Linked DNA regions of Yarrowia lipolytica. The protein of the gene in region 1 interacts with the protein of each later gene in a pairwise test. Links are inferred from orthologs where the notes say so. Each region holds a gene or a part of one and is shown in the gene's direction. Other genes may lie near its edges.

Region 1 (12,510 bases):
TGGCTTATTGTAACTACCAGTACGAGGTGTAGTGCTGAGACATAGACAATACAACTCTGTACAGGTAGAGAGCAGCCTTCATGCGGGGTAGGGGAGGCATACAAGAGAAGAATGATACCCCCAACCACAAACAATTGTCCATTACAAACACATTCTCATCCTTACTTTTTTTCATATCACCCCTCTATCACCCATTCGAACCGCTCCACCATCCGATTGCTCCGAGCTTTAAACTCCACATCACAGTGCATGGTTGGTCTATAACTCTCAATTAGCTCACCACTTGTACATAGTCTCTCCACACACACACTCTTACACACCCAATTACCGCAACACACGTTTCAACATGTCTCTCGACCTAGCTACCAACGGCCAGCAGATCAAGGACGTGTACGGCGCCATTGTCAGCAATGACCCCGAGTTCCCCTGGGCAATCTTTGGTTATGCCACCTCTCCCACAGCGTCCTCGGCCACCATCAAGGTCGCAGCCATCCCTGAGTCTGACACTTCCACTCTGGCCGATTTCCTCGACGAGTTCGAGGAGGGCAAGCTGCAATACGGCCTGGTCCGAGTCCCCGACCCTCACTCGAAGCTACCCAAGATTGTCTACGTGGGCTGGTGTCCTGAGGGAGTCCCCGACCCTCGAGCCAAGGGTGTCTTCAACCCCCATCTCCATGCCCTTGGAAATCTCTTCCACGGCTACCACGTCCAGGTGACTGCCCGAGACCGAGACGATCTCACTGAGGATGTGATCCTGGAGCGGCTGGAGCGAGCCTCTGGTGCCAAGTACGGAGCCACCTCATCCAGAAAGCCCGGAATCTCGTCGGCCATCAAGACCAAGCCCACCTACACAACGCAAAAGTCTGGAGCCGATGAGGAGGACTGGGGAGACGCCCCTGCAGTGGAAACCAAGCCCGTCTCCAAGCCCACACCTGTTGAGTCGTCCTACAAGCCCGTCAAGGTTGACCTGGCCGAGATCCGAAAGAAGGGAGGACCCTCGACCTTCACGTCCGAGGGACGAGACGCCGACTCAGATCGAGGCATTGTCGGTGGCTCCTACAAGCCCGTCGGTAAAATTGACATTGCAGCCATCCGAGCCCAGGGCAAGGGACACAAGGAGTCCTTTGAAAACACCCCCATCAAGACGGACCTCGACAAGCCCAAGCCCAAGGCCACTCCTAAGCCTACCTCTAAGCCTGCCCCTGTCGCCGATGTTGAGGATGAGGACAACCAGAACGGGGACGAGGACGGCGAGCCTATGTCTCTCAAAGACAGAATGAAGGCCTTCCAGAAGCCCTCCAAGTCTTCTTCTACTCCCACTCCCTCCAAGAAGCCCCCTACCACCATTGGTGGAGACGACGACGATGAGGAGGATGAGACCCCCAAGTCTGTTAAGGACCGACTCAACGCTTTCTCCGGGTCTGGACGGCTCACCGAGATGCCCAAGCCCAAGATCGACAAATCTGCTATCCAGTCTCGATTCACACCCGCTGCCTCTCGAGGAACCAAGCCTCTGGCCCCCGCCGGTGATCTGTCGTCTCAGTATGGTCTCAAGACCTCAATTGTGTCTGGTGGATCCCGAGATTTTGCCTCTGAGAACGGTAAGACTCCCGGTCAGATCTGGGCTGAAAAGCATGGAAAGACTCCCCAGCCTGACGTGGCCGTGCCTTCGTCTACCTCCAACGTCTCTTCTGCATCCGACAAGTTCTCCAAGCTGTCTGTGAACGACGATGATGAGGAGGACAAGAAGACTCCTGCTTCTTTCGGTGGTGATGACGACGAAGATGACGAGCCCCACGCATCGGTTTCCGCTCTTCGAGGTGCCTTCAATAAGCCGGCCGTGCATGACGAGCCCAAGAAGTCCACCCCCGCCCCTGCTTCTCGAACCATTCCTCCTCCCCCTCCTTCCGCCTCTCGAGTAAACGACGACGACGATGATGAGGACGAGGACGATGCTCCCGCTGTCTCTGTCTCTGCTCTCCGAGGCGCCTTCAACAAGCCCGCTGCTGCCGACGAAGATGATGCTCCCCCTCCTCCTGCTCGAACAGTGCCCCCGCCTCCTCCCTCTGCATCTCGACCCCCCGCTGATGAGGATGACGACGATGAGGACGAGCACAACAGCTTCTCCAAGGGCGCCTCTGCTCTTCAGGCCGCCTTCTCTGCTGGTGCTGGTACCGGAGGACCTCCTCCTCCTCCTGCTCGAGGAGCTGCCAAAGATGAGGAAGAAGATGATGCTCCTCCCCCCATGCCTGCTCGACACGCCCCTCCTCCCGCCAACGACGATGATGCCCCCCCTCCTATGCCTGCTCGACATGTTGCTAACGACGCTCCTCCTCCTCCCATGCCATCTCGACCTGCTGCCGATGAGCCTCCTGCTCCCGCCCTGCCTTCTCGAGGCGGTGCTGCTGCTGCCACTCCTGCTGCTGTTGTCTCCAGCAAGCCCTCTGCCACCGTGGAGTACGATTACACTAAGGATGAGGAGGGTGAGATCGATCTCGTGGAGGACGAGATCGTCACCGACATTGAGTTCCTGGACGAGAACTGGTGGAGCGGAACCAACTCCAAGGGTGAGTCCGGTCTGTTCCCCTCCAACTATGTCAGGCTTAAGGATGGTGCTGTGCCCACCATTCCCGATCCTGCCGCGGGCTGCCGGGCGCTGCTGCCGGCGCTGCTGCCGGAGCTGGCACTGGCCCCTCTGCCATCGCCCTGTACGACTACGACGCTGCTGAGGACAATGAACTGAGCTTCGCGGCGGACGATATCATCACAGATATTGAATTCATCGACGAGGACTGGTGGACCGGATCGCTCAACGGCAAGCGAAACCTCTTCCCTTCCAACTTTGTTGAGCTCCAGGATTAGCCTAATCGTTCTATGATGTATAAATAATTATGACTTGATGGATTGAACTGATTGTAGATTACTGTGTGAATAGTCGTAGTGCTGTGTTTTGTAAACTTCTATTATAAATTACCACGTCATACTGTGTGTCTATAAGTTAGCATGCCCGTCTGGCTTCCGCGAGCAACAAGATTGTTGTGTTCAAATCTTGGATCTAATAATCTCGCTGAAGAGACGCAGGGTAGCTGCACCCTGTCCCTGTTGAGTAAGCCCTCGTCGAGCAACAATGGCAGCATGAGAATGGATCACGGTAATGTACACGGCGTACTTTTCCCAGCCTAGCTTGTCCATGTTCTCAATCATGCTGAGTACGTCCTCGGAGAAAGGCGCGTTGTTCGCCCAGTTGGCCAGCAATCCTCGGTCTCCTGTGTGTCTAGCCGCCTCCATAGCTTCACCCAGACCGACCACCTTGGTTTCCGACAAAGCAGGCGTGTCGGTGTTGTTAAGATCATCACCTAGAATGACGTCTTCGACGGCAGCTTCAGTGATTCCAGCAGCCATGACATCAGCCTCTTCCTCAACCTTGGACGCGTCCGTTTTAGAAACGGGGGAGGATTGTTTGTCGGTGTTCTCAGTCTTCTCCCCCTTACCGCCAACCTTCCTCTCGTCACCCTCATTCAACCACTCCTCGTCAAAAGTCTCCATCTTGATACTTTCGAGAATCTCACCCATGAGTGCCTTGTCTCCTTCTCTCAGAAACTTGCTGACTCGGTGATTTGAGTTGTTGGTGAAGAACATGGACGCAATTAACACAGCTGTGATAGCTAGGGGACCAACAGTAGCCGCAAAACTCCAGAAGATAAGCTTCTGGCGAATGTGTTCGTGGTAGACGGGGAAAGGAAGGGACCGTTTGGTGGTTCGTTTGAAGTCAATGATTCGAGGCGAGTGGCTCCAGCCGTAGCTGTCCACCACGGGTTCTTGCAGCTTGACTTCGTGGAACTTGAGATCGAGCCATCGTAGGTTAGCAAACGGATTAGCAGCCGTGATAAACGCCGTTGGGAAGTGCACCGTTCGGTCGTTTCGGCAATTGGCCAGCAGCACCCGGTTATCAAACATCTCCAGCGCCTTATATGCGGATGAGGAAGGATTACTCATGTCAGCAAGTGTCGGGTCCTTGAGAAACAGGTCTCGTCCAGTGTTCCCGAGATAGGTACTTCCAAGAGTGTTCATCCAACTGAACCAACGTTTGTCAGTTCGGTGGAACTTGGAGCCCAGATGCGGCGTGGCTATGGTGGAGAACAGAACGGGCTTGACCTTGTCGAAGAAGCCCTCGTCCAAAAATATGCCACAGAGATACCGCGCAATGAGGCCACCAAGAGAATAGCCCAGTATCGAGATGCGGTCAAAGGTAACACCCTCGTCATCAGCGTAGCGGCGAATCACCTCCTTGATCTCCAGATAGCATCGACGCGCGCATACTTGCACTCCATCGTAGGTGAGAGTACCGTGGTTACTCTGAGTGGCATAAGCAACCATGTCTCCTCCAGCCTTGACACCGTAGGTGGTGTCCAACACCTCCTTTACCGCGGCCATGTGGGTTGCGCTTCCCCAGAGACCGTGAATGAGCACAAACAAATGCATGTCTTCTTGTCCCGTTGCAAAAAAATGAGAGAAAAAGTCGTCTACTTGTGCCTAAGCCAGCTTGGGCCACAGACGCATGTGATTAAGTTGGTTCACAACGGTTAGCGGGAAAACAAAAAATTACGCGAATCTCAGATAGACTCTGGGTTACAGTAGTGTATATTGACAGATGGCAGAGGTGGATCAGACGGAAGTCGGCAGAGGGAAGAGCAACTGAGAGCAAGGCGTGTTATCCGGAGAGCGAAGGGGTTGGAAAAACGGGGTCTAACTACATAAGCTGTGTTGTTGCATGTGATTCTATTGCATTCAATCCATCAGATGCTATGATATTTTACCCAGAAGATGGAAAGATCTCCTCCTGTACCTGCAACTGAGTGATTGGTGATGAGTGCATTGTGAAGAGGGGGTACAAGTACGAGTGTACCGTATTGGTACGAGTACTACAAATGTCTTACGTGCAGAACTCGATGCGGGGTAGAGTCAGTATAAATATAATCGAATTAACACTATATCTGCCTTCCTTCCTTCTGAGCGAATTTTGCTGTTCTTGTTCTGACTTCTGATACCATGTTGTGTCAGAAGTAGGTTTGAGAAGAGGGACTCATCACACCATGGCAAGTAATTGCAAGTAGTACTGTTATGTTATTATTAATAATAATAATAATAATAATAATAAATAATAAAAAAAACCTGTGGGAAAAAAATCCTACGGAATGGGACAAAGCTCACACTGAAAAAGAGATATTGTACTGGGCGTATAATAGTCGTATAGTATAAATATATTATTCAAATAAAAGAGCATATAGATCGTACAAGTTCATACTTGTACTGCACATAATAAATCAACAGTTCAAATGTTGATACTTTTACTGTAGTGTTAAAGATCGTATTCATATTACAAGTACAGTACATACACAACGTTACAGGTAGCACACTCCACTCAGCTCAATGCGGGTCTTAGTCATAGTAGGAGGACACAACGTTATTATAAATACACAGCGCAATTCTACAATCCCAGGGTTTACAGATAAGTAGTAGATTTTTAACTAACTAAGAGCTTAGTCGAAAAGACCGAATCCCATGTCGTCATCCTCAGACTCCTCATCCTCCTCAGCGGCAGCAGCAGGGGCAGCCTCAGAAGAGCCGGAAGCGGCAGCGGCGGCAGGAGCAGCAGCGGCGTAAGCCTCGGGGTTGGCAATTCGGTCCTTGATGGCCTCAGAGCCCTCGAAAGTGTAGTCAGAAGCAATGGACAGAGCAAGAACGTTCTTGTAGTTGTTGATGATGCAGTGAGACACGGCGGGGAGGGTGGGGTAGTTGGCGGCAAGGGAGATGGCGGTGATGGTAGAGATGGCACCAATGACGTTGGAGATGAGCTCCTCGTCGGTGATGTCCAGAATCTCGGAACCGAAAACCTGGCCGTTGTCGTAGACCTGAACAACAGTCATTCCGTAGGTGAAAGGAGAGATGTTCAGCATGTTAAGGAGGGTAGCCTCGGAGGGACCGACCTTGACATCCTGCTGGAGGATCTTGACATCGGAGGTAATCTCAATAGTACCTCGAGAAATCTTGGTGGGGACACCGAGAGCCTGGAAGAAAGAAGTCTTGTCCGGAGGCATTCCAGTGTTGGCGGCCTGGATCCAGACGTCCTTAGGGGCAATGGCACCGGCTCGGGCAGGGGCCAGAACTCGGTTCTCGAGGAGAACCTCTCGGATCTCCTTGAGGTCGTCGTTGGTGAAAACGAAACCAACGTTGCCTCGGCAGAGGGGCATGAGAAGCTCAGCAGCCTCGGGGAGCTCCTCCTCGAACTCTCGGAGAGCTCGTCGGACCATGGTGTTCTTACCCATGAGAACGACTGCTCGGCCTCGGAGAGTCTTTCGGATCTCATGCATCTGCTGAGAAGAGACGTTATCGACGCCGACGACGAAAATGGACTTGTACTCCTGAAGCAACTGCTTCAGTTTGGAGAAGTACTCGGTCTTCTTGATGCTGGTGCTGCCTCCCATTTCGAATTAGTTTGATAGGATATTTAAAGACAAATTCCGCTGAAGAGAAGAAGAGAAGAAAAATTTCACCAGCGAGTTATGAACTCCCAACGCGGAGTCTGAGTGGGTATGCTCAAACTTACGCAGTGCTGTGATATACTTCACCAATTGGGCTGTGTCCCCTAACCTTGATATCACGTGAGTGGGAGAACTGGATAAGGTCGGTTTTTTATGTAAGCGAAAGCGATTTTTGATGCTGCGAGAATAGTTACTTGTATTCTACTTACCTTCCCATGTCTTAAATTCACCCCTCTACTCAAATGGCTAAAATTTCTACTTTTGTTGAGATCATCGCACCCCACCATCCACGTAGGCACGCATATTTTACTAATCCGTACGTACAGCTTCAAACAAGCTGAAGTTTCGTTTTTTAAGACATACAAAACTTCGAAGATATGAAAAAGCACGTAAATAAACGTAGTTAACGTAGTGAGCGGTTGATTAGAGAGCTTGTCTCAAGTTTCTTCACTATTTGCACACATTAAGCATCATCAAACTACTATGTAGTATGTACTTGTATATATGTACGATCTGGGACACTCACTCCCCGTACAGTATGTATGTATAGAGTAGTCACATAAGGCGAGAGTCCCGCACAGTATCCCAGTGAGTCCACGTTGTCAGCGCGGAGTACACATAACTGAATGTAGGATGTGGCCAGCACAACATACATCACTATTATATAACGGTATCATATTCAATGATGCTTAGTCGTCAGTGCGTCTTCGCTTCGTGAGTTCTCATTCCTGGGTCCCAGAGGCACCTCCAGATCCTCGTTTTTGACTAGAGTCCCGGCTGCGAGCACCCTGGAAGTCGCCCCTTGGTTGTCTTCGCTTCTTGTGGTTCTGTCCACGGTTGTTGTACATTCCCTGTCTGTTGTGGGCTGCTCGAGCACCTTGGTTGTTGTCTTGGTCATACCGGCGAGCGGTGTATGTCGGTCTGTCAAACCCGCTGTGAGAAGGTAGATACTGCTGGTTGTTCGGGGACCGTCCTCGACCCTGCAAAGCCGGTTGTACAAGCATGTCCATAGGTCCAACAGTCTGGCCAGTCATTTCAACGTCTTCAGACAGTTTCTGTCGCTCGTATCGGTCCGAGTTGGGGCCAAGGACTGCCTCCTTTGCCAGGGAGTCTGCTTTGACTACTACAGCAGGCAACATTCGGGGGATCAGCTCCTCCTCCTCTTCCAGGTTACCAATCTTGATAAAACGGTTGCAGCCGTCCAGCTTGCCGAGATACTTGACGTTGGTTTCCAGAGTGTCGTAGTCATTGGCATACTCGATGGGGTAGTCAATAGCCTTCTTTCGACGTCTCTTGTTGTGAGGGGTTCGTGGATCGTAGTTGAACTTGGTCCCCACGCTGTGTTCCTGGCGAACAACGGGATCACACAGAGCCTGGAACACCATCAGGTTGAGATAGGCATCATTACCTGCATTGTGGAGAAAGGCGTGAGGAATGCAAAATGCCTCCAGAAGATAGGTGAGGTTGCCCTTGCCCTGTTTTTTAATACAACGCCAGATCTTCTCAGTGTCGATGATGGGCAGCTCAGGAATGTGGAAGTCCATCTTCTTGAGCTCGTTGAGGTCCCCCGAGATGCAGTGGCCCACATAGTAGACCGGGTCCTGGTCAAAGCCGGCAGTAAGGCCCGTCAGAAGTTCCTTCCAAACTGTTCGAATGTCGGCTAGAGGCGCCACTTGCGACGTACCGTAGCAAAAGAAGTCTCTATGGTCCGGGACGTAGTTACCGTTTCGGTATCGATCCGACGATCTCTCCTTGACAACAAAGTGCTGGGCCGAGATCTTAGGGGCTGCGTAAGGCTTGTCGGGCTGACCAATCGGATGGAACCGCATCACGGCCACTCCGATCTCCGTGATCACTCCAGCATGATGTTCTGCGGTTTCGGTATCGATGCAGATAAACACTCCACGGTTGGCTGGAGGCTGCTGTAGAGTATTGTAGGGTGCGGGGATTCGTAGTTGCATGTGATTCCAATGTGTTGGTGGGCCGTCTATGTTCAGCAAAAGTCGTCTTGGATTCCGTCGGAGACGTTAGTGTACTTGAAGTCCGTCTACTTGTAGTTGTAATTAGCAGTCTCTGAACGTGTCGCGTAAAATTAATTTTGGCTTGCATATTGGGAGTGGACACAGGTTGATGCACGCTACATGTGGGTCTGATGAGTGGACGTGTCACAGACTATTCTTGGGTGTCACGGCTGTTGCTGGTTTCAAAAAAACTCTGTGATTGGATGCTACGGTACGTGTCGCACTTTTCCACGCACTTTTCCACCTGCTGGAACCAAACGGTCGGCCTTGTGCCTTGCATGACAGTGAGGTTGTGAGTTTAAAGAGGTTCACTAAGCGAGTCTGTCAGGTGTCTGGGTACCTTGATGTGTACATGTTGTCAGTGGAAACTACTTGTAGTGATGTTCGGATGCTGCCTGAGTGTAATAATATACATCGAACGCGTACTTGTAGTGTCGTGTGTCCTTGTGCTCTGAATATCTGAATATCTAACTATCACGTCCCCACACAAGTACAAGTACCTTGTGTACATCCTGTACACTCGACATTAACGGGCAGTCTGTTTGCCTTGACTGCAAAATAGCCACTCCAACAAGAGCGACAATAAGCACAAACAATACTATTATTTCGCGCATCAGTTTGGCTCTACTGCACGTCTAGGTGGAGTACGTGTACAGTATTTTACAGCACGAGCACTACGCTGTATAGTACATACTCATAATTGTATTCTCTCAGAGCATCACTATTGTTTCACACCTCGATTCGAGCTGTGTGGAGGCTTCTGAACAACTAACTTAAGAGGAGGAAGAAGGCAGACGTGCCATGGTTGGCTATATCGGTATTATAGGCGCTGGGATTGGTAATCGCACCCTGTCAATGTATTGTACAATAGCCCCCGTTCAGTTACCCTTCTCTCTATACACTGCCTTGTTGTTCCTCCTTTTCTTCTCTCCTTGCTCGTCTCCCACTTTAACTCCAAGCTTGAAATTACAGTATGTTTCATCAGGCTGAACCATGGGGACCCGGTCAACACCTGTCATATGGAAGCTATAAAAAAGACTTCTTTGGTTAATTTTCAACTGAAAATAAAATAAAACCAGGCCACGCAAACACTGTTATATTTCCCCTCCCCCTTCCCCAGGCACCCCTTTTATCTCCACTTTGACACCACTTTGACTCTGCTTCCGTCTCCTCGCGTCAACCCGCGTTGCCCCAGCAACCTTGTCCCAATTAGGAGTAAACACAACACCATCCGACTGCACGCCTATCCTTATGTAGCTAATACTTTAGAGGAGAGGCTAGCTACGTCGTGGTAAACTATTCTGCTCCACACTTCGCCACACATCTTGCAACACAACCACACCATGGTATCGTTTAAAGACTCCCCGGTCAAGGGGGCCATGAGCTCTGTGGAACAAAAGCTCCAATCTCTGCGAATGCCCCAGTCTCCCATGCGAGGAGGAACCTCTCCCCCTCGAAGCCCTCTTCGACACGAGGCTGGAAGTTGTGACCCCGACGAGACCACCGCCATCATTTCCAACATTGAGTCTCTCAACATTGGCCGACCTACTGACAAGGAGAACTGGGCTCCTCAACAGCAGGGCCACCACGGCAGCCAGGTGACGGCCAACACACACTCGCCGTCGTGGACTTCACGTGACTACGAAAAGTTCAATGACCCTCAGACCAAGCGACTGGTCAACGTCACCCAGTTGTACTTCTTCGATTACTACTTCGATCTGCTGACTTACGTACACGGCCGTCAGCAGCGTCTTGGAAAAGCCAAGGCTGCTCTTGGAGGCGTCCCCCAAGCCGAGGCTGAGACTCAATGGAAGTCGTATGTCGGCCGAGAAAGAGCTCACCTGCGAAAGCGTCGAACCCGTCTCAAGCACGGCGACTTCCAGATCCTTACCCAAGTCGGCCAGGGAGGTTACGGACAGGTGTTCCTGGCCAAGAAGGCCGACACCCGGGAAATTTGCGCCCTCAAGGTGCTTAACAAGAAGCTGCTGCTTAAACTGGACGAAATCAGACACATTCTTACCGAACGAGACATTCTAACGGCTGCCCGGTCCGAGTGGCTTGTCAAGCTGCTTTACGCCTTCCAGGACCAGGAGTCTGTCTACCTCGCCATGGAGTTTGTCCCTGGAGGAGACTACCGAACTCTGCTTAATAACACCGGCATCCTCAACCCCAGACACGCGCGGTTCTACATCTCCGAGATGTTCGCATCACTGGAGGCCCTCCACAAGCTCGGATACATCCACAGAGATCTCAAGCCCGAGAACTTCCTCATCGACTCGGCAGGTCACATCAAGCTGACTGACTTTGGTCTTGCATCCGGAGCAATCTCCAAGGACCGAGTTGAAAGCATGAAAATTCGTCTTGATGCCGTCAAGGATGTCCAGGTCACCCATAGATCGCTCACCGAGCGACAGAAGATGTACCGGTCTCTGCGAGCCTCGGACATTAACTACGCCTCCTCCATTGTTGGCTCTCCTGACTACATGGCTCTGGAGGTTCTGGAGGGAAAGAACTACGACTACACAATTGACTACTGGTCTCTGGGCTGCATGTTGTTCGAGACTCTGGCCGGCTACCCTCCTTTCGCTGGAGCTTCTCCTGACGAGACATACTCTAACTTGCGACAGTGGAAGAACGCTCTTCGGCGGCCCAAGTACGATGATGGTCGATACGTCTTTTCGGACCGAACCTGGGATCTCATCCAACGACTCATCACCTCCGCTCGATACAGACTGCGGTCTTTCGACGAGATTGCCAAGCACCCCTACTTTGCCGAGGTTGAATGGGAGACTCTGCGAGAAAAGACTCCTCCCTTCATCCCCCAGCTCGACTCGGATGTTGACGCTGGCTACTTTGATGATTTCTCTAACGAGGCTGATATGGAGAAGTACCAGGAGGTGATGGCCAAGCGAACACAGGTCGAGAACCTTGCTGACAAGGGCAACCCCATCCCCCACCGAGCATTTGTCGGCTTCACCTTCAGGCACTCTCGAAACCCCAATAACAACATTCTGGAGGAGACCAACAAGGGCAACACTCACAGCAGGCGAGAAGTTGGACGAAGCAACTTTGGAACCATGTTCTAACTGGATGTTCTTTCACTCGCACTTGAAATTTCTCCCACATCTTACTAAATAGCTCGCATAGATTCCAGTGGTCAAGCTACCACATCAGTTCCGCGTTCCGCGTTCCGTTCCTTTCTAATATATCTGAGATTAACATAATATTAAAGCATAAACACCAGGACTCCGAGACATTCATCGTCTTAGCGAACAACTTACCTGTAATTACTATTCGGATATTATCACCTCAAAGATCAATCAACTTCATCGACCGATCTAAACGTCCCTTGCAGATCATGCACGTGTAGTTTAGCAGTCTTATTATTGCAGAGGGAATATGGGTTGATTTTGTGGTACCATAAATAATTTGTGTGGCATTCTTTTATCTACCTGTATGTTAAAAAGTTGATTTTCAACTTCAATGAGTCTTTCCGCCCACATTGACCACTATTATCACCCTCTCATGCTCGCTTTCTCGACACATCTGATGTTGTCCAACACCAACTTTAAGCTGACCTCTTCACCAAAGCTAATTTGCTGATGCCAACATGTCGCGCGGGATCCAGAAACTGAGGTCTCGAGCCACAGGAGAATGGACCGGAGTGCAGGGAGAGCCTTTAACGGAAGAATCGGGCTTTGATGATCCGGACGCCGTGTTCCCCGACTGCCAACCGACGACTCGTCCGCCATGGAAGAAACTATTGTGGGTCAAGCAGGACTACCCCGACAACTATGTGGACTCGTCTTTTCTGTCGCAACTGCGCCGAAACGACAATGTGGCTCAGTACTCGTTCCGCTCACTGTTTCTCGACTCTAGTGTGATCATCATGCATCTGTGCACTATCGTCGTCTTTGTGGTGGTGTTTTTGGGCATATTCAACCATG
Region 2 (11,561 bases), on another chromosome or scaffold:
CGGCGCTGGGAAACCAGATCCATTTGCATGCCAACCCCACGGCCGCCGCTATTGCGGCCAAGCGGATCAAGGAGGAGGCCGAGAAAGCCAAGGACGCCGAAAAACGGGCGCTCGAGGAAAAGTATGGCAAACAAGACCATGTTCGAGTACGACCCAAAGAATACACTTCTGTGGTGACGGCAAAGAAGCCCACAGTGATCCGTGCCAAGAACGCTCAGGGTATTGCTGTTTCCAAGTATGAGGAGGATGTGTTTCCAGGCAATCACACTTCTGTTTGGGGAAGCTACTATGATAAGGAGACTGCCAAATGGGGTTATGCTTGCTGTCATTGTCTGATCAAGAACGGCTACTGTGTTGGAGAGAAGGGCAAGAAGAAGAAGGGGGCTATGGATACTGTCTGAGGGACAGATTCACTTGTAAATCCTGGACTTCTTTCGATACTTCTGTGTAAATTATTAATTTATTGCATCACCTGGAAGGGAAGAGAAAACTAAATGTAGCCTGTGGTATTGGTATCGAATGAGCTGTTTCATGACGGGCGCAACCACAGTGTGGACTGGAGTGCTTGGGTAGAGATTGCAATGCTCGTGGAAGTGGAGAGAGTCAAGCAACAAGTACATATGGTAACGTGAAGACGAGTCCAACACCGTTAATCTTGCGTCTTAGCTGTGGCTTGTCAACACCAGAGCGTTATCTAAGAATCATGTTGGAGAGAGTAAAAGTATGGGTATTCCTACTGTCGCTACTTGTACTACTGTTACAACTTGTAGTCAAGACACAAGCTTGTAGATCGCCTGAAGCCCAAGACCGGCATTATTGGCACATAACTCCGATCGCAGCCCACATAACTCCGATCGCAGCCCACAAACTCATATCCCTCTTGGTAGAGTAACTCCGCCAAAAAGATGAGACTGTTGCTTGAGAGAGAAAAAAATTAAGTCAAAACCTTGGGGAAGATGGTAAGGCGATGATGATCGTGTTGCTGTAGTTTATTTGGGAGCGACTTGTAGCAAGGCTGACAAGTAGCCAGCAAGTCAGATATTGCATTGTATAGTTCTGGTTTGGTTGATTGGTGGTTGTGATTACATAATATCGAAATAATCAATTTCATCTCTCCCGGGGACGCTATAGTGTTCCATGATCAGATTGCCTGTCTTTTTTTTATTTATTCTTATTGTTTTTTATTGTTTTTTATTTTTTTATTTTGTACGTTTTCTGACTTTTTCTTAAAAAGTTTCAAAACCACGCCACCCAAGGTTAACTAACGGTGCTTAATGGCTCAACTGACCTCGTGCGTGCTGCCAAAACCGCTTATTCATGGTCGCTGCAAGATACTGTAAGTGCATGATTTTGAAGACTATTTTTTGGACCGCCTAAAAGTGTAGTGCAACCCCAGACTTTATCTCTCGGCAACAAAACACTCAATGAAACACTACAGAGCTGTACCTGGCGCTCTGAGGGCGTCGCTGGCCAGATCCGCCGCGCCCAGATCGACCTCCACCCGGTTTCTGTCGACTTCCGTGCTCAGAATGGCCGAGCACAAGAACGAGTCCAAGGGCAAACCTCTATCGTACCCCCCTCCGCCTCCCACAGTTCAGATTCCGCGGTTTGACGGAACGCCCAATTACAATCCCTCCGAGGAGGAGAAGCAGCAAGCCAAGCACGAGAAGGCCGTTTCCTGGGCCATCATTTCTGTGGCCTCGGTAGTTGGCGTCTACTTCGGCTACAAGTGGTATGGGCCGTACTCTGAGTCCGACGAGGAACTCCATCGACAGGTGGCGGAGCGACAGCAGAAGAAGAAGGCTGTTGCCAGTGCCGCTGTTCGACAGGAAGACGCCGACGCCGTTGCTGCTGCTGCGGCGGCGGCTGACAAGTCCTCAAAGAAGGGCAAGGCTTCGGTTGCTGGAGTCTCCTTTGCTGAAATGACTCCCGGACTCTTTGCCTGGGGAGATAACGATGGACACGCAATCAAGGACACGTACAACGCCGAATCCGAGACCCCCAAGCTGGTGCGATCTCCCGTTCGACTGCGATACTTTGAAGGAAAGTTGCTGCGAGACGTGACTCTGGGCGATGGCTCTGGAGCTGCCATTCTGGACAACGGAGACGTGGTCCAGTGGGGTGACCGGTTTGCCCCACACTCCGTCAAGAATCCCGAGGTCACTCTGCAAGGAAAGGACGCCGTCAGAATCGTCCAGTCTCGAAACATGCTCTATGCTCTGTCCAAGGATGGAACCGTGTACTCGTTCCCTGTTAGCAAGGAGCTGCAGGTGGCTGGACCCAAGGAAAGAGAAACCCGAACGCGTCTGATCCCCGGATGGAAGCGAGAAGCCAAGATCACCTACCGTCAGCTGGACTTTGATACCACTCTGGGCATCACCGAGAAGCTCAGTGACATTTCTGCTGGACAAGACCATCTTCTGGCTCTGTCCAACAAGGGCCGAGTGTTTGTTTCATCTACCGGAGGAGCCATTGAGGAGGTTGAGACCGATCCTAACCCCGTGACTGGCGAGTTTTCAGAGACTCTGGTTGGTACCGAGGCTCCCCTTCCCTCCGCTGGCCAGTTTGGAATTGCAAAGTTCTCTCACTTCAACACCGCTCCCCGACCCGGAACTCTGTACGAGATTCGATCTTTCCGAAATGCTGTTGTCACTAACATTGCTGCTGGTGCCTTCCATTCGCTTGTGCGAGACCAGAACGGTAACATGTGGGTGTTTGGCTCCAACAAGTGCGGCCAGCTTGGTCTGGACTACGCCTATGAGTCGCAGAACGTTGCTCTGCCTCGTCAGCTGACCCTGGGCCGAATTTGCAAGAAGGACCAGGCTGCTATTGTTACCCGAGTCTTTGCTGGAGGAGATACCTCGTTTGCCGGCATCAAGGTGGTGCAGTCTGATGATTACAACTCCGCCTCCAACTCGGAGCGAAAGAAGCTGTTGCAGGACACCGCCGAGGTGATTTACTCGTTCGGTGACGGTCTCAAGGGCCAGCTTGGAAACGCCACGTTCAAGCATGTGCAGGCTGAGATGACGCCCATCAAGGAGATCAACTATGCCTCTGAGTGGAGCGAGAAGCTCAACAAGGTTGTTCCCATCCAGGTAAACTACATGTCCACGGGCCCCAACCACGTGGCTGCCGTTCTGGACAACTCCAACGACGTTGCCACTACCCAGGACCTGTACCTGTGGGGCGGCAACGAGTTCTCGCAGATTGGAAACGGCAAGCGAAACAACATCCCCAAACCCTCGCATTTGATCACCAAGCACACCACCGAGTCCGATCCCTACACCCAGCTCATGACCAAGACCAAGATCAACGGTTGCGAGGTCCAGCAGCAGATTGTCGCTGGCGACGGAACCACTTGTGTCTTCTACAAGCGAATGTAAGGAGGGGTGTGGAGTGTAGCAAGCAGATGTAAATAGTATAAGATAGGTATGATAGGAAAGGTGTAAAACAGGCAAAATGTTGGTACGTCAACCCGATTATAATTCAACTAAACAGTCAACTATATATACTTGACAGATTCTTGACAGTAGCAGCTCTCCCTTCACTTAGTAAGATACTTGTTGATATCAGTGGGTCATTATGGTATCCTCACAGTCTATCTTGTAAAACACATTTCAGATCTCAGCGACGGAAATGCATCCCACAGTCAACTAGTCTCAAACCAGTTTTCACAACTAAAGGGTACAGTATACAGTATTTAAATAAAAACACATGTACGGTATTCTTCTTTATAAAAGAGCATCGTCGTAGTATTTACAACACTGTACATACAATGTGACCTCGGACTACTTTACAAATGACTAAATATCAGTTGATAACAAGCACAAATACGAGTACCCATATCTAATCCAGTATACAATTTAATCCAATTTAATATTTTACACCTACACAAAAAAAAAACAGAAAAAACATTTTTTTTATTTATTTTTATTTTTTTATGCTCACGATTACAGCACCCCCGCTAAAGTTCCAACTGTAGCAAGCTGTATAGTGAAACAAATGCAGGAGTTTCTAAGCGTCGCTAGAGATGTGGGTGCAGAGGAATCTAACTACAAGTAGTCGTTTTGGCGAAGAGTAATGAGTAAATTACAATCAACAATCGATTTCAACAGTCTGTATACATAAATCCTTGTTATTTCGTCTATATTGGATCCCCAATACCTTGTCCCCACTGTCCCGTTGCCGGGGCAACCACCTCCCAACTTTATCTCGGATTCTAAACACAGTGTATCACAACTGTCGGACACGGTTCCACGATACAAGCGCAGTATCGACTTAACAACCTCACCCCAACACATTGTCGAAATGTCGTTCTTCCAATCTCTGCATCTCAACACCAACAACTCGCGTACAACCCGCACTTTCAAGCCCTCCACGGCCTCTTCCCCTCCCGCACATCTTCTCAGACAGTATGCTGACACCACTCTAGGAGCAGGCTCTCTGGCCCAAGCAGTCAAGCTCCCTGAAGGCGAGGATCTGGCTGAGTGGCTGGCCGTGCACACAGTCGACTTCTACAACCAGGTCAACATGCTCTACTCAACCATCACCTCCTTCTGTTCGCCAGCTTCGTGTCCCCGAATGACAGCCACAGACGAGTACGAGTACCTGTGGCAGAATGCCGCATCGGAAAAGTTCAGAAAGCCCACCCGAGTCTCTGCACCCGAGTACATTGAGCATCTGGTGTCGTGGGTCCAGGCTCAGCTCGATGACGAGGCTGTGTTCCCCCACAGACTAGGCGCCCCCTTCCCCAAGAACTTTGTGTCCAGCGTGGTTCCCCAAATTCTCAAGCGGCTGTTCCGAGTCTACGCACACATCTATTGCCATCACTTTGACCAGATCAGCGAGCTGGGTCTGCAGCCGCATCTCAACACGTCGCTCAAGCACTTTGTGCTGTTTTCCAAGGAGTTTGGCGTGGTCGACCAGAAGGAGTTTGCTCCTCTGGACGAGCTGATTCAGATCTTGTTGGATGATAAGTCTTAGGCGATTTCGGTGGCGACTGGCCGTAGGTAAGGAGTGGACCACTACTAATGGATATGGGCAGCACGATTCGGCTGATGAATGCTCACGATGAGCAACTCAGGACACAGAACTAGGCCTTATATTAGGCTAGGTCAGAAGGATGTTGACTAATAACACACAGAGTCAAATAGTTAATGGGTATATGAATGGTATAGGCTGTCGGTGTGTGCGAAATGGAATGTTAGGGGTGTCAGTGGAGATAGCAAGGTTGTTGTGAGGTGAGTCAGTCACTCAAATGAGATACCAATTCGAGAGACCGGTAAGAGTATGATCATTATGTGAGCAGGTAGCTGCTTATGGTGCATGTCATTGTATTTTTATGTACAATGCACCGGATACTGCACGTCTAGAACCTCTGCTTGAAGGTCTCATCTACAAACGACGCATTGTTGATTTTGGTCAGTTTGAGCGTAGACAGTGGCACAAGTACAAGTGCAAGTACAAGTACAAGTACAAGTACAATGTACCGGATTCATACACAAATGCCACTTATCTAGGGAGTCCTGGATGCTTTCCTGTATATTTTCAGTCTCATTATTTTCTCTTTCTACCCCACACAAGTGCAATTACGATTCCTTGTCAGCTCCATGAAGCGGCTGTGTGTCGATAGCCGAGAGGACTTTGTGAGGACATAAATATTGGTGTATTGAAGACAGCTCTTGTACGACAAGGTCCGTGTTGTATACCTGGACAGGATATGAGTTGTGACTCATCAAGCACTATACTGTAGCTCTTGTCAATGGTCTTCCAGAAGTAGGTCTATGTACAGCAGTATTCCTAATACAGTACTCGTACAAGTAGTAAGTAGCTTAGGTGCAGTTTGGTTCACTTGACTTTTCACTCAGTGCATTGTGTGAGAACATTATGCATGGATCCACATACAAGCTTTAATTCGGGGTAAACAGAAACCCGCCTACGGGAAGAGGAGTGATATTGTCGGTATCATCACGCGTTCTCTGGTGAAGGAGACTCGGGAACCCACTCTTGGTGTCATGTGATCGTCCTATTGTAGCCCTTTTTCTGTTAGCCCATCAGAAGCCCATCTTTGGTGCTATCAGAACGTATTCTAGCTACATTATTAGAACAACGGCGTCATACTCCCAAGACCAAATCTAGCTTGGCTCTATTTAATATCGTTTAAGCGCCAACGCCAACGCCAACGCCAACGCCAACGCCAACGCCATCTCCACCCCGACTCGCCATGGCCTTGCAACTGGATCTGCCCACGCTGCACGACCTGCGTGTCGTTCTGAACGCAGACTTTCTGGCCGCTCTGGCGGCGCTGCTGCTGCTGGCCGTCATTCTCGTGCCCCTCTGCTCATACATTTCGCTGTATGCGTGGTCAGCCATTCTGGCCTTCAAACTGCGATCCCCGCCGGCAAACTGGGAAAAGAGCATCGTCAAGGGCGTCCAGGCCAACGGAACATCCACACTGTTCGGCTTTGGCTTCTGGCAGGCCGCCGCTGTTCGACGACAGCTCATTCTCCAGTCCAATGATCCCTCCTATTACTCAGTGACACACGTTTCTCGACGTTCCGAAATCGCCATCAGCCCCGAAGACAGAAACACCGAGTTCCGCAACCGCGCCCAGGACTCGGGAGCGCCCCGGCGAGTCATCTACGGCTTCTTCCATCCCTACGCTAACGCTGGAGGAGGAGGAGAACGTGTGCTGTGGGCTGCAGTCAAAGACACCCTCATGTACGACGACAACATCATCTGCGCCATCTACTGCGGAGAACAGGATTTGCCGACCCGAACCTCGCCGTCCACTGTGCTCGACGCGGCCGTCTCAAACTTCCACGTCACCGAACTCGCGGATAAAGAGCTGCGAAAACGAATCGTCTTCATTGGAATGAGAGGCCGGCGACTAGTGGACCCTAAGACCTGGCCCCGATTCACACTCATGATGCAGGCCGCTGGCTCCGTTTGGATGGCCTGGCACGGAATCTCCACCCTGGTCCCCGACGTCTTCGTCGATACCATGGGCTACCCTTTTGCCTACCCTCTGGTCTCCTGGGTCACCCATGTGCCTGTTGCTGCCTACGTCCATTACCCTGTCATCTCAAAGGACATGCTGGCAACCGTTTCTCTCAAACAGTCGCCCGTTCGAGCAGCCCTGGCTGTCGCCAAGCTTGTCTACTGGCGTGTGTTTGCCCTCACTTATACCTTTGCCGGCTCCTACTGCTCCGTGGTCATGACCAACTCGTCCTGGACCAACAACCATATGCAGCACATGTGGTGGTACAACCACAAGGCCGAGCACATCAAGATTGTCTACCCTCCCTGTGGCACCCAGGCTCTTTCTGAAATTGCCATGTCGGAAGAGACCTCTGCCCGAAGCCCTAACATTGTCTACATTGCCCAGTTCCGGCCGGAGAAGAGACACGACATTGTGCTCAGAGAATTCAACAAGTTCTACAAGGAGTACACCGAAAAGTACCCCAACCAGCCCGCTCCTCACCTGACTTTTGTGGGAACTGTACGAAACGACGACGACAAGTCTAGAGTCTACCTTCTGCGACTCCAGGCACGTGATCTCGTCAACCCCGACTCGGTGTCGTTTGTGCTGGACGCCCCCTTTGACAAGGTGCGAGACATCCTGCGAACTGCCTCCATGGGAGTCAACGCCATGTGGAACGAGCATTTCGGCATTGTCGTGGTCGAGTACATGTCTGCCGGTCTCATTCCCGTGGTCCACAACTCAGGAGGGCCCAAGTGCGACATTGTGGTCCCCTACGAGGGCCAGTCCACTGGCAACAGTGGCACTCTATCGGCCATGCCTTCGTCCACATCCATTCGATCTCACTACGAGGCGGTTCCTCCTGGACCTACGGGCTTCCACTTCAACTGTCCTGGCTCCGACCCCACAACCGACTCCGGTCCCAGCTACGACGGCGAGCCTATTGGCACTCTAGCAGAGACTCTGATGCGGGCCTTTGAGCTGTCCGAGTCCGATACACACAACATGCGTGCACGAGCCCGAGAGTCCGTCAAGAAGCGGTTCTCCAACGAGCAGTTTGGCAGCCACTGGCAGGTGCGAATGCGAATTCTCGAGAAGCTGGAGCAGATCCGACGAGGCCACCGACTGACCCGGGGCGACTTTGACTAATTGAGGAGGACATGCAGACAGGGAGTACAGAAAGGCTTGTACCACACCAAAATAACAAGCGGACCACCATTCGCTATGACATAATCTAAAACTGAAGTAAGGCTGGGGAGGGTATTGGTGTTTCAGGGTCAATAGCCAGCTATTTTTATTCTTAGTCTGGTTATGGCCAGCTAAGTGTAATCTAGCTGACTAATAATCACAGCTGGTAGAACAATTGCAGTATGTACGTATCGGCACTTTTATGTACATACTGTACATACTGTATGTACTTGTATTGTACGACTTTACATTAATATTTATTTTTTCTGTCACCTTCGGTGAAATATTTAGGCTAATTAGGAGTGTGTACTCCAATGGCAAGTTTAACACTACAAGTACCCCCAGTATTATGATAACAGCTTATGAGAAGTGTTGGAAGTCATCTAAAGGGGCCTTCTCACTGGTTCACCTTCGTTTGCGGTCTCGGAAACCCCTCATTTTCCCTCCCGTGTCTCATTTCATCACGTCTCGCACCATCTTACTCCTCGTTAAAACCCTATGCGCTGGTCCACTCAGATGCACGACTTGCATGAGATTAGGCATACACACAGCCCTTGGGGATGCATCAAAGATAGCACGGGTTAGCAAGGCACTGAGAAAAGATCGGGAGCAAGGCCATTGAGTGGCGGCAAAGGAACGGATGGCTTAGTAAGCGATGGAAAACAGATACCCGGTCGCAAATGACCAGTTCACTACAGTCTCACCCCTCAATCTAAATTTTAAGTGTGCCCCTGAAGTTCCTTTTCGTGGGGTTTGGGTGGCTACGTCATCGCAAATAAGCTCTGAGAACCAAGGCGGGTGAAGAGCAAAACATGGGGTGACCGATTAAATACTGCTGGTACAATACACAATGCATGTTCTAAAATACACGTCATACGTTCATTAACTAAGTACCTATTGTATTTATTTAGCACCAGAAGTGGTGTCAGGAAGACCGTTGGCAAAGAACAGAGAGCCCTTGCCGTCGGCGGGCTGAGCCTCGGACAAAGGCTTGAGGTCATCAGTAGTGCCGTAGGATCCCGTGGCTTTTCGAGAGGGAGGGCCTCGCTTGCCCGTGGACGACACAGAGTACTTTCTCTGTCGCTCGATCACGTCGTGGGCATCAGCGCCCACCTCGGTGTGGTCTCGAGGGGCATTCTGGGCAGCGTCCCCGTCCTCCTTGTGGTTGGACATGGTGAGCCGTCGCTCGACATGGACGGGCAGATCGGAGTGGGCAGGCACAAACTCGTCCTTTTCGGTCTTGAGAGTGTTGCCGGCGTCGGGGTTCTCGTTGTCGTACTCAAACACGTCCGAGTCGGCTCCTGCGGCAGCCTGGGCAGCCTTGATCTCGGCCAGACCGGGCAGGGCGGGGCCCTGGTCGACGGAGAACTTTCGAGAGTTTTGTCGCGACTGCACCCGGGGCACCTCGCCTACATGCTGGTTTTCCTCGTAGTCGTCAATGGTTCTGTTTCGAGGGTTGTCGTAACCAAAGTTGGACTTTTCGTCGACCAGAGGGTCCTGCTTGGTGGCTTCGCTTGGGCTTTCGAACTCGTCGGGTTCGTCGAACACCTGCTGGGGCTCTTCCATGTGTTTTCGATGGGCCGAGGCCAGGAGAGATCCACTCATTTCGCGAGCTGAATGGGGTAGGGCAGGGATTTCGGAGTCGGCAGACGTGGGCAGGGGGTTGTTGTTGTCGACACTATCGGCTACTGGGTCGGTGGCGATAGTGGTGTTTGTGTCGTTGGGGTAGGCGGTTGCGGTTGCGGTTGCTGTTGCGGTGGCAATTCCTGTGGGGATGGCGTTGGATGCGTTGCTGTGTGTGGAAGCGTTGTGTGCAGAGTCAACGTTGTTGATGTTAGCTGGGACTGCGTTGTTCACTTCAGTATGGTTGTGCTGGTTACTGTTGCTGTGGCCATTAACCTGCTGCCGTGATGGAGCAACCCTAGGGGCATTAAACTTTAGAGCTCGTGCACGCACATCCTTAATCGAGGTGAGGGTCTGGATGTCCTTCATCCACTGTTGCAGAGCGTCAGCAGACTCGACCCGGAATACCCAATTGTGGCCCCGCGACGAGTCGCCCTGCTTGGTCTTGAGCACAAACTTGTGCGACCCGCTGGACGACTTGGAGTCGGCCGAAATCTGGCACTCGTCCAGCGCCAGAGACATAACCGGTACGGGGTGTTTGGCCCGATCGCCGCTCTTGAACTCGTGCAGAAATGACGGGGTCAACACGTAGAAGGCCCGGCTGTAGCTCTTGAGGTACTTGGACCGTCGCTCCAGCTGGCCCGATCGCAGCTCGCAGGTGAGAGGATCGCCTCGGTAGGGGTACTCAATCTCGTCGATAGATCGAGAGGGAGTAGCAGTATCGACAAAGTTGGGGTCAGTAGACACAAAGGCGGTCCACTCGGCTGCGGGCTCTCGAGCCACAAAGCCGTCGACAACAAACTTGTCCACCAGCTGCTGTAGAGCCGTGGCAGCAGCCGAATTGAGCTGCGCAAAGTGGTCGAGAGCCTGCTGGATCTCCATGACCACCACCTTCTCCAGCTCCTTGCCGCTGTTTTGCAGGTTGTTGTACGCGTCCTGCAGGTAGTTTTCCTCTGAGATTTGCCGTCCCAGCTGCTTCTCGAGCTGGTACCGCACCAGTGCCGGGTCCTGCTTGCCCTGTAGAGGTCCCCCGCTAGTCAGCACCTTGATGGCCTGCTGTAGAGAGGCCACGTGCTGCTCGGTAAGACCTTGTTCCTTGGCGTAGGTGTTTTTGAAGTCCGACGACAGGCCCTTGATCTCCTTGATCTTGACCAGCAGGTCACGCCGCAGATCATCGAGCCGAGGGATCAGGTTCTTGGCCAGCTCCTTGGCCAGCTGCGACGCGTGGGCCGCCTGGGTTCGGTGGTAGGCAATGAGGTCGCCGGGCAGATCGGCAATGGAGCCGTGGCCGTAGGGCTGGAACATGGCGCGAATTGCCTCGTCCTCGTGCGACGTGCTGTTTTGGTGGAAGCCGCCTGCCCACAGCGATCCGGCGGTCGACTTGGCCGCTACCGACCGGGCGTCGGTCACGTTGGAGTCCTGGGGGTCCAGGGCCTCGCGATCCTTCTGGACCGTATGCTTGGACATGTCGGCGGTGCCGTTGGCGAAAAACGGAAAGTTGACGGCCGTGCCCAACCGCACGTGTTGTCGAGTGACCTCCTCTTGGACCGAAACCGCCTCCTTGAAGTAGACGAGCAGGGCTCGGATGATTTTGCGCCAGGCCGAAAACCGGTTGGCCAGCACCTCGGTGGGGTTGCCGTTGATGGGCACGGGGCAGTAGGCGACCGACAGAGTGTCTGTGGCGTCCATGGTCATTTGCTGCTTCTGTTTTCTTACCAGTCTCTCAGCCGTGTCGTGCTCAGGGTGGTGGGATAGGGAAAGGGAAAGG

Evidence for each region.
Region 2: the proteins of YALI1_B18741g (region 1) and YALI1_D11034g interact in binary tests that used the Schizosaccharomyces pombe proteins (3 or more experiments, as listed by UniProt). The link is inferred for Yarrowia lipolytica from reciprocal best matches to the Schizosaccharomyces pombe genes sid2 and mob1.

The regions. Positions count from the first base shown.
Region 1 is NC_090771.1:1,864,249-1,876,758, forward strand, and holds YALI1_B18741g (uncharacterized protein), read left to right. Parts: upstream 1-9,906; coding exon 9,907-11,649; downstream 11,650-12,510. Other genes in the region: YALI1_B18645g (uncharacterized protein), read left to right, coding at 347-2,743; YALI1_B18687g (uncharacterized protein), read right to left, coding at 3,043-4,482; YALI1_B18707g (60S ribosomal protein uL10), read right to left, coding at 5,541-6,485; YALI1_B18727g (uncharacterized protein), read right to left, coding at 7,265-8,503; YALI1_B18764g (uncharacterized protein), read left to right, coding at 12,174-12,510. UniProt on the Schizosaccharomyces pombe protein: Part of a signaling pathway. Required for initiation of medial ring constriction and septation.
Region 2 is NC_090773.1:1,096,238-1,107,798, reverse strand, and holds YALI1_D11034g (uncharacterized protein), read left to right. Parts: upstream 1-4,308; coding exon 4,309-4,983; downstream 4,984-11,561. Other genes in the region: YALI1_D11087g (uncharacterized protein), read left to right, coding at 1-401; YALI1_D11068g (uncharacterized protein), read left to right, coding at 704-883, 926-988; YALI1_D11063g (uncharacterized protein), read left to right, coding at 1,425-3,383; YALI1_D11015g (uncharacterized protein), read left to right, coding at 6,224-8,131; YALI1_D10961g (uncharacterized protein), read right to left, coding at 9,074-11,561. UniProt on the Schizosaccharomyces pombe protein: Has a role in promoting the onset of septum formation during the latter stages of mitosis.